2 linked regions of the Cricetulus griseus genome follow. The main gene of each other region encodes a partner of the protein of the gene in region 2 in a complex. Links are inferred from orthologs where the notes say so. Each region holds a gene or a part of one and is shown on either strand. Other genes may lie near its edges. The genes, in order: Prim1 and Pola2.

Region 1 (4,397 bases), on a different chromosome or scaffold from region 2:
CACATGAAAACTCACGAAGGCAAACACACATTCACAAACTTTTTAAAAAATTAGTCTTTAAAAATTAATTTAAAAATTAAAAATGAGAAAATTAAAATTTTTAAAAAGTTAAAAATATTTTTTAATTAAAATAAATTAGCAATTTTTTTTTTTTTTTTTTTTTTTTGGTTTTTCGAGACAGGGTTTCTCTGTGTAGCTTTGGAGCCTATCCTGGCCCTCGCTCTGGCGACCAGGCTGGCCTCAAACTAACAGAGATCCACCTGCTTCTGCAAAAATTTTAAAGTATGATTTTCAAGTGACGAAATATTGATGAGTTATCAGACTGCCCACCTAGTCCATAACTGTAAGACACGTCTTGACATAGGAAGACTGACTGGCAGATTAACACATCAATAGCAAATATGCTTTCTTCATTTTTTTTAATGTTCTTCAACTTCCTTCTAATTCATATTTTAGTATTCCTGGGTGTTCTGTTTGAAAGACTAAATATATAGGCCGTGGCCAGAGAGTACATAAAGTAGAATTCTAAATGGAATGGAATTGAGAACGCATTAATGAATCTATGTTGTTTATAGCCAACTGATTTTTTTGGAAAAGACGTTAAGAACATACATTGGAGAAAAGACATTTTCAGTAAATGTTACTGATAAAATTAGATATCCGTATGCAGAAAAATAAAACAAGACCCCCACGTCTCACCAAGTACAAAAGCCAACTTCGATGAAAATGGGTCAAAGACAGTGGTATGGTGGTGCACAGCTGTAATTCCAGCGCGGGAAGGCAGACGTGGAAGAATCATTGCAAACTGAAGGCCAGCATGGTCTGCTGGTTGTGCTAGCCAGAGCTACACAGCAAGAAGCTGTCTTTTTTAAAAAAGGAAAGGGGAAGCTGGGTGGTGGCAGTACACACTTTTAATCCCAGCACTCAGGAGGCAGAGGCAGGGCAATCTCTGTGAGTTCGAGGCCAGCCTGTTCTAAAGAGTAAGTGAGTTAGTTCCAGGACATCCAGGGATGTTACATAGAGAAACCCTGTCTCAAAAAACGAACAAACAAAAAACCAGCCTGGTGACATACAGTAATGATCTCAGCACTTGAAATTCAGAAGCATGAGAAATCTCTAATTTGAGGCCAACCTGGACAAACAAAGCAAGACTCTGTATTTTAAAAAATACATATTTAAAATAATAGAACACAGTAAATGTTAATGCAAAATTAAACAAATAAAAAAAAAGAACTCTGAGCTATGCTTTCAACCACTGCTCAAAAAAAACTAAGTTCTTTGTCGTTATGTTGTTTTGTTTTTCCAGGCAATGTCTCCGAACTCGCCCACCCAAAAAAAGAGCAAGAGCTGCGGGACTCTCAAGAACTACAATTCCCGGCAGTCCCTGCGGCGGCGCGCCACGACTTGGATGCGTGCACAGCCGCGGAGCCCTGAGTCGTTCCCGCCAATTCTCGTGTCTGTCTAGTTCCTGACTTCATGGAGCCGTTTGATCCTGCCGAGCTGCCGGAGCTACTGAAGCTATATTACCGACGCCTCTTTCCCTACGCCCAGTACTATCGCTGGCTCAACTATGGCGGAGGTGAAGGAGGCTGGAGCGGGGTGGGGAGTGGGGCTGGGAGCCGTGTGCGGGAAGATTCTGGGAGAGATGTCCTCACATGACTGTCGGGTGCCTTCCTGCACCGTCTCCATCCCGCCTCACCACCTCTGAGGTACGGAAAGACAGGTGGACCTAGCCACACTGTTAAAAGAACGGGGCCAGCAGCAAGCGGGTGTTAGCATGGAGGCGCGCAGGTGTGACCTGCAACCAGGTGCTGGGAAGAAAGACACTTTCACAGCTAGGGCTGTTTAAGGCCCACCGATGAAAGGCATTGCGTCTTTTAAAATATTTGCACCTCCTGTTCATTGTTCTCTAGCAAATGTGGAGTGGTACGTCCCTTCAAATTGCAGACTAAGTAGAACAAGAGCACTCATAAAAATATTCTAGATAGCCTGGTGACTCACACCTGTAATCCTTACCTTTGTGAGGCTGAGGTAGGTGAATTTTCATGAGTTCAAGGCCAACCTGGGCTACACAGTAAATTCTAGGGCAGCCTAGTCTACACAGTAAGACCCTATTGTGTGTGTGTGTGTGTGTGTGTGTGTGTGTGTGTGTGTGTGTGTATAGTCCCATTAGTTGAGATTATGTAATGCCCTAAACTGAATAAAGTACCAAATTAAAATTATTTTGCAGTGACAAAGAATTACTTTCAACACCGTGAATTTTCATTCACACTGAAAGATGATATTTACATTAGATACCAGTCCTTCAGCAACCAGAGTGAGCTGGAAAAGGAGATGCAGAAAATGAATCCATACAAGATTGATATCGGTGCTGTATATTCTCACAGAGTAAGGAATCTTTTTTGTGTGTTTTGTTTCGTAGGCCAGAGTGAATTGATACCCCCAAGTTTTGAAGGTCATGTTTTAGAGTTTGTTATGATTGATCAAACACACTGGTTTTGCCTGGCATGCATGGACTCTTGGGTTCCATAAACCAAGTGTGTTGGTGCATTACCTATAACCCAGTGAAAAGGAAGAGGAGGCCAGAGGATCAGATGTCTAAGCCCTTCTTAGCTGCAAAGGAATTGGAGGCCAGTTTGAAATACATGAGACCATGTCTTTAAAATGGAAGAAGAAAATTCTTGCTGGGGTGGTGACGCACTCCTTTAATTCCAGAGACAGGCAGATCTCATCTACAGAGTTAGTTCCAGGACAGCCAGGGCTGCAAGAGAAACCCTGTCTCTGAAAACAAACAAAAAACCTTTGATTTGATTGGCTAAAAGAGAAAAATAAAATAAATCTATATTTGAAAACAGTAAGCCTGAGGCTGAGGAGATATCACAGTTGTTAAAGTGTTTGGGGACCTGACTTGAGAATCCCTCAGTACCCATGTCCTGAGGCAAAGACAAGCGAATCCCTTGAGTTTGCTGGCCAGCCAGAGTAGTGGAATCAGGGAGCTCCAGGTTCAGGAAGAGACCCAGTCTCACTGAGGTGGAGAGTGGTTGAATACCTGACTTCAACCTCTGACATATATACATGCATCTGCACAGATGAAACAATTAAGTATAGAAGTTTTTATTAAGTTTCTCAGAAAAGGATCTGGGATATAGATTAGATGAATGTGTTCTGGCAGACCCTACGTTAAATCCGTACCAGATCCCTGTTGCACCAGGGGTCGGAAACTAATGTTATTCTCTCTCTAATGCATGAGACCTGGGAGCTCTTAAGATTTTCTGGTAACCTTTCTTTCCCTAGTTCTAAAACTATACAACTGTACACTTTGGTATTGTCTGTTCTGATAGGTATTGAATGGACCCTTACCACACTCATGGTCTTCAATTGTGGGGTAGCTATACTTTTTCTAAATATCCCAACCTTTTTCTTTGAAATACCTTATTTCTAGGGATTTCAATGGTAATTTATTAAAGCCTATTTTATACTTAACTCCACTTCCCCCATTCATAATATTCCTGCTTCTGCCTCCTGAGTTGCTGGAATTTACTAAAGTACCCGGCTACAGACATGATGTTTTTACTGGAAAGTGGTCTGGCCGAGCCATATTCTTAGGGACTCTGTGCTAAGTTTCTCTAGGTCTTTGTCAGAATAATATCTCCACTAGCATAGTGATCTTTGTTTAGTCACTGACCTATCCCTAGAGCCCAACACATCTGGTCAGATTCTTTAGAAAAGAGTCTAGTCTGCTGCCTGGGTTGGAAGTGGAAAGCAACAGACATAAGGAGAAAGGACTGGGTCCCTGGCTGAGGAGATGGCTCAATAGGAAGAAAACTTGCTTTGGACCTGAGTTCAAACCTCCAGCATTCACATAAGAGCTGGTTGTGTCTACACTTACACCTATAACCTCAGTACTATGGAGGGCAGAGGCAGGAGGATCGCTGGGGTTTTCTGGCAATCAGCCAAACTCCACGTTCTGTGAGAGACCCTGTCTCTAGGGAATGAAATGGAGAAGTAATCAAGTAGAACACCTAACATCCCATGCATGTGTATACTACACACACACACACACTCTCTCTCTCTCTCTCTCTCATACATAGACATAAAAATAGATACAATTTAAAAGAAAGGGCTAAATATTAGCATTTCATATAAAAATACATGGTTAATCTCTCTATAATATATCCTTTTTCAACTGTGCCTTTTGTCCCCCAAGTCTAAAGACCCTCTTTTATATTTTCCAAGTAACAGTTCAGGTACCTTCTGTGAGGGCTGTGGAGGAGCAGTCACTTAACTCTGTAGGGTGTGGCAGGGACTGGGGGGTGGCTCCTTTGATTGTTTGCCCAGCATGGAAGCTCAGGACTCTAGGACTACATATCTGGATGTAGTGGCACATGCTTATAATT
Region 2 (4,419 bases):
AAAACCAAACAAACAAAAGAAAACCAAAAAACCAAGGCTCAGAAATATTACGTAGGGGCCCAGCGACATGATTTAATGGGCAAAGGCACTTTCTGCTAAGCCTAATGGCCTGAATTTGAACCCCAGAACCTACTTAGTAGAAGGAGAGAATCAACTTTTCTTTTCCTTCTCAAGACAGGGGCTCACTATGTAGCCCTGGCTGACTGTTCTGAAACTCGCTATATAGACCAGGCTGGCCTCAAACTCAGAGATCCAACTGCCTCTGCCTCTCTTAAAGGTGTGTGCCACCACCATTTCAAAACCAACACCATTTTTCATGGCTATCCTCTAAACACTTTAGCATAGGTGTGCATACAAATGCGCGCACACACACACACACACACACACACACACACACACACACACAAGAGACAAGACACTATGATAGAAAGAAATGAAGAAGGGAAGAAAAGAAGTAGAAGACCAAGCTCACACTGGGACCAGAATCAAGGTCAGACTCCACAGCCTGCATCTTTTCATATATTGTGCACCTCCATGCAGCATAAGAACATTAGTTAACTCACATTTGCTCTTACCTCATGTTCAAAAGAGTTCAGGATCTCTGCAGTAAGGCACACTTTCCCTGTGCTGGTGCAGAAGGCAATAAGCTCGCTTACCATTCCCTCCTCAGTCTGTCTGTAAAGAACACACAGTTCCGCCACTGTAGGGAGAGAAACAGGCAAGGAAGAACTTAGTTCATTTCTTTCTTTTTAAGATTTGCTTATTTATTATGTACACAGTGTTCTGCAAGCATGCTCTCATCACAGGTGGTTGTGAGCCACCAAGTGGTTGCTGGGAATTGAACTCAGGACCTCTGGAAGAGCAGCCAGTGTTCTTAACCTCCAAGCCATCTCTCCAGCCCCTTGAGTTCACTTCTTTTTGCTTTCATATTGAGGCAAAGCAATCCTGTGATGTCCAGTCACTGCTTATTCACAGGCCCTGGGAACACAGCAGTGAACAAAACCAAGAAGTTTTTTGTTTTTATTCACAGGAAGCTTACTACTGAGGGGAAGACAGGACAGGAAAGTATATGGTACTTTAGATGCTCAAAGATGAGATGTAGAAAAATGAAGTTGGTGGGAAAGGGATTATAGAGCTAAGGAGGAGTCTGGCAATTTACATACGAGGGGCCGGGGAGAGGCCTCAGCAGGTAAAGTGCCTGCCACACTATCGTGAAGACGAGCACATGGGCATGGTGGCATGTCTTTACTTCCCAGTGTGTGGAAGGCAGAGATGGAATGTTTGGAGCAAGCTAACCAGCCAGCTTGAGAGTGATCAAGGAAGACTAAGTGATTCACCACAGGAGTGAATGTATCTAGCCGGAAGTGATTCTGGTTCTGAGTCCTGGCCATTCACATGAAGATAAAAATGAATCTTCAAAGGCGAGAAGTGGTGGTGACAAAATCCAAAGGAAACCCGGGAGTGGTGCCAGGGAAGCTCCTGATGATATACAAGCAGCAATAACTCTAGTTCCAGAGGCTGGCTCCCTCTTCTGGCTTTTGTGGGCTCTGCATGCATGTGCCCAGTTGTATACACACAGACCAACACTAATTCACATAAAAATAAATAATTGTAGCACTCAGGAGGCAGAGCTAGGTGATCTCTGCTAGTTTGAGACCAGCCTGGGCTACAAAAAGAGGCCCTATTTCAAGAAATTTTAAAAAGAAAGAACAGATTATTTTTAAGACTTCACAAGGACTTGGACTATTTCAGTCTCCATGAAGAAATGCATTACAAATTATTAAACTTTAAAAGCAAAGCAGACAGATCTCACTGTCTAGCCCTAGCTGACTTTGAATTCTCTGTGATCCTCCTGGCCTCGTTCTCCCAAGTGCTGGAATAACAGACAAGCCCACTTACACTACGGTTTTAATTCCTAAAATCAGAAGTTCAAAGTGTTGATGATTGGTTAAGGCAAGTATACCCACAGCGCTATTCTGATGACACACATTTTCCAAGAGATGTGTGATTTAAGTCTTCACCATTGGACTCTATGGACCAATATGATGAGGAGCTGGACTCCAGGGCAAGAGACTGGGGTTGGCACACTGCTTAGATAATTAATTCTCCTTGCCTGTGTTCCTCCATCTATAAAGAGAGGGGGCCAATAAGCTCCCTGAAGTTTCTTCCAAAGCAAAAATAAATTATTAGGAATCCACCTCGAGGAATTTCTATTTGCACAGACCACTAAAACTATGAGCCAGGCATGGTGGTGCACACCTTTAATATCCCAGCAGGCGATCTCTGTGAGTTCGAGACCAGCTAAGTGGTCTACATAGTGAGTTCTATGACAGCCAGGGCTCCATAGCAAGACCCTGTCTTTAAAAACCAACTCTGATGAGAAAAGTCATAGAGCAACAGATGACTAGGTATGAGCTGCAAACGGTCCCAATGTCTCCTTTTGGCAGTGTCACCTCCTGTTTGATCAGGACCCAAGCAAGACCCCACGAGCATATGCAATTTGGAAGGGACCCCCTCGGTTCGGGACTCACGTTTCTCCATCAGGGCGTCCTCGCAGTCCAGGCCGAAGATCTGTAGCTCCTCCGCCAGCTGCTGGGTGGACACGGCCATGATGACCCGGAGGGGCCGGGCGCTGCCTCAGCTCAAGTCTGCTCAGCAGAGGCTTATCCTTTCGCTTTGGGGGAAAGTGACAGGGACGCGCCACCAGAGACAACTGGCCTAAGCCCTCAGAAGACCCTATCCAGCAGGTCACAGAGAGATACGTCAACAACGACAAAAACTCGAAAGGTCTCGTTCCGGAGAGGAAACTTGCTTCCGAAGCTACCGCTTAGCTTCTGAGTGAGGAGCACAGCCGGGAAAAACCCGCCAAACGCTTAGCCCGGCGCGCGCTTGCGCGAGGACCGCTCCACACGGCCCTCCCCGCGCACGCGCCGGTCCGTCCATTGCGCCTGCGCGGAACGCGCCCGCTGAGCGTCGGTCGGCGCGGAAAGAAGAGTTCCTGCCTCCTCTTGCTGCGGCGGTGTGTTTCAGGGGTCGCCTGCGCTGGGAAGCTCTGCCATGCCTGTTTGTCCCATTTCTATGGGCCAGGAAGCGCTGTCCGTCCGTGCCTGGCAGATCACTGAAGGGGAGCGCTTAGGGCAGTGGCAGTGATTCTCAACCTTTCTTCCTTTTTTTTTTTTTTTTTTTTTGGTTTTGTTTTTTGAGACAGGGTTTCTCAGTGTAGCTTTGGAGCCTATCCTGTAACTCGCTTTGTAGACCAGGCTGGCGTTGAACTCACAAAGATCCGCAAGTGCTGGGACTAAAGGCGCCACCACCACCGCCCGGCCATTCCCAACCTTTCTAATGCGGGGACCCTCTAATGTTGTGGTCACCCACAGCCGTAAAGTCATTTCGTTACTACTTCATAACTGTAATTTTGCTACTGTTATAAGTTGCAATGTAAATAACTGAGATGCAGGCTGTCTGATACATGACACCTGTGTGTGTGTGTTGTTGGATTCCCCAAAGGGGACCTGACCCATGGTTTGAGAACCACTGGCTTGGGCAGTAAATGAGTGAATTCTCTCCCTGATATATTTCCTAGTTATTTTATTTTATTTTTCAAGACAGGGTTTCTCTGTGTAACAACAGCCTTGGCAGCCCCGGAACTCACTCTGTAGACTAGGCTGGCCGCGAACGTGCAAAGATCCGCCTGCTCCTGCCTCCCGAGTGCTGGAGTTAAAGGCATGTGCCACCAACGCCCAGTTTATTTCCTAATTTTTGGAACCCAAATCTGCATTGGTTTGGCTTAATCAAGTGACCTGTGACACCATGTGCTAAGAATGGAATGGAGCACTGACAGCCTTTGAAGAAAACAGTGTGAGCCCAGCGTTCAGAGGCAGAGGCAAGAAGATCCTCTGAGTTGGAGGCCAGCATGGTCTACAGAGCGAGTCCAGGACAGCTAGGATTACACAGAGAAACCCTATCTTGAAAAATAAAACAACAACAACAACAAAAGGAAGGGTACACCTGTAATCTCAGCACGACTGAGATGGGAGCCTCTGCAAGTTCCAGCCAAGGCTACATACACAGAGAGACCCTGTCTGAGAAAACCAACAAAAAACAACAAACAGGCTATAGAGACGGCTTAGCTGTTGTGCTTGCTCAATGCTTTCAAAAAGGACCTGGGTTTGATTCCAGCACTCTAACTCCAGTTTCAGGGGATCTGATACCTGGCCTCCACAAGCTCCTACAGAGCGGTGACACACATATATACACTAAGGTACTCACAAACACCTATAAGAACACACCTTTAGTCCCAGCACTTGGGCAGCAAAGGCAGGTGGATCTCTGAGCTTGGTCTACAGAGGGAGTGAAACCCTGTCTCAAAACAAAAAAGCAAATAAACTTTTTTTTTTAGTCTTATGGAACTGTCCGTGG

The links.
Region 1: Pola2 (region 2) and Prim1 share a complex: the UniProt entries of both Homo sapiens proteins name them as parts of the alpha DNA polymerase complex. The link is inferred for Cricetulus griseus from reciprocal best matches to the Homo sapiens genes POLA2 and PRIM1.

What each region holds. Positions count from the first base shown.
Region 1 is NW_023276806.1:129,848,807-129,853,203, reverse strand, and holds the start of Prim1 (DNA primase small subunit), read left to right. Parts: upstream 1-1,410; 5' UTR 1,411-1,476; coding exon 1,477-1,579; intron 1,580-2,230; coding exon 2,231-2,388; intron 2,389-4,397. UniProt on the Homo sapiens protein: Catalytic subunit of the DNA primase complex and component of the DNA polymerase alpha complex (also known as the alpha DNA polymerase-primase complex - primosome/replisome) which play an essential role in the initiation of DNA synthesis.
Region 2 is NC_048596.1:53,379,320-53,383,738, reverse strand, and holds the start of Pola2 (DNA polymerase alpha subunit B), read right to left. Parts: upstream 2,897-4,419; 5' UTR 2,611-2,896; coding exon 2,532-2,610; intron 701-2,531; coding exon 576-700; intron 1-575. UniProt on the Homo sapiens protein: Accessory subunit of the DNA polymerase alpha complex (also known as the alpha DNA polymerase-primase complex) which plays an essential role in the initiation of DNA synthesis.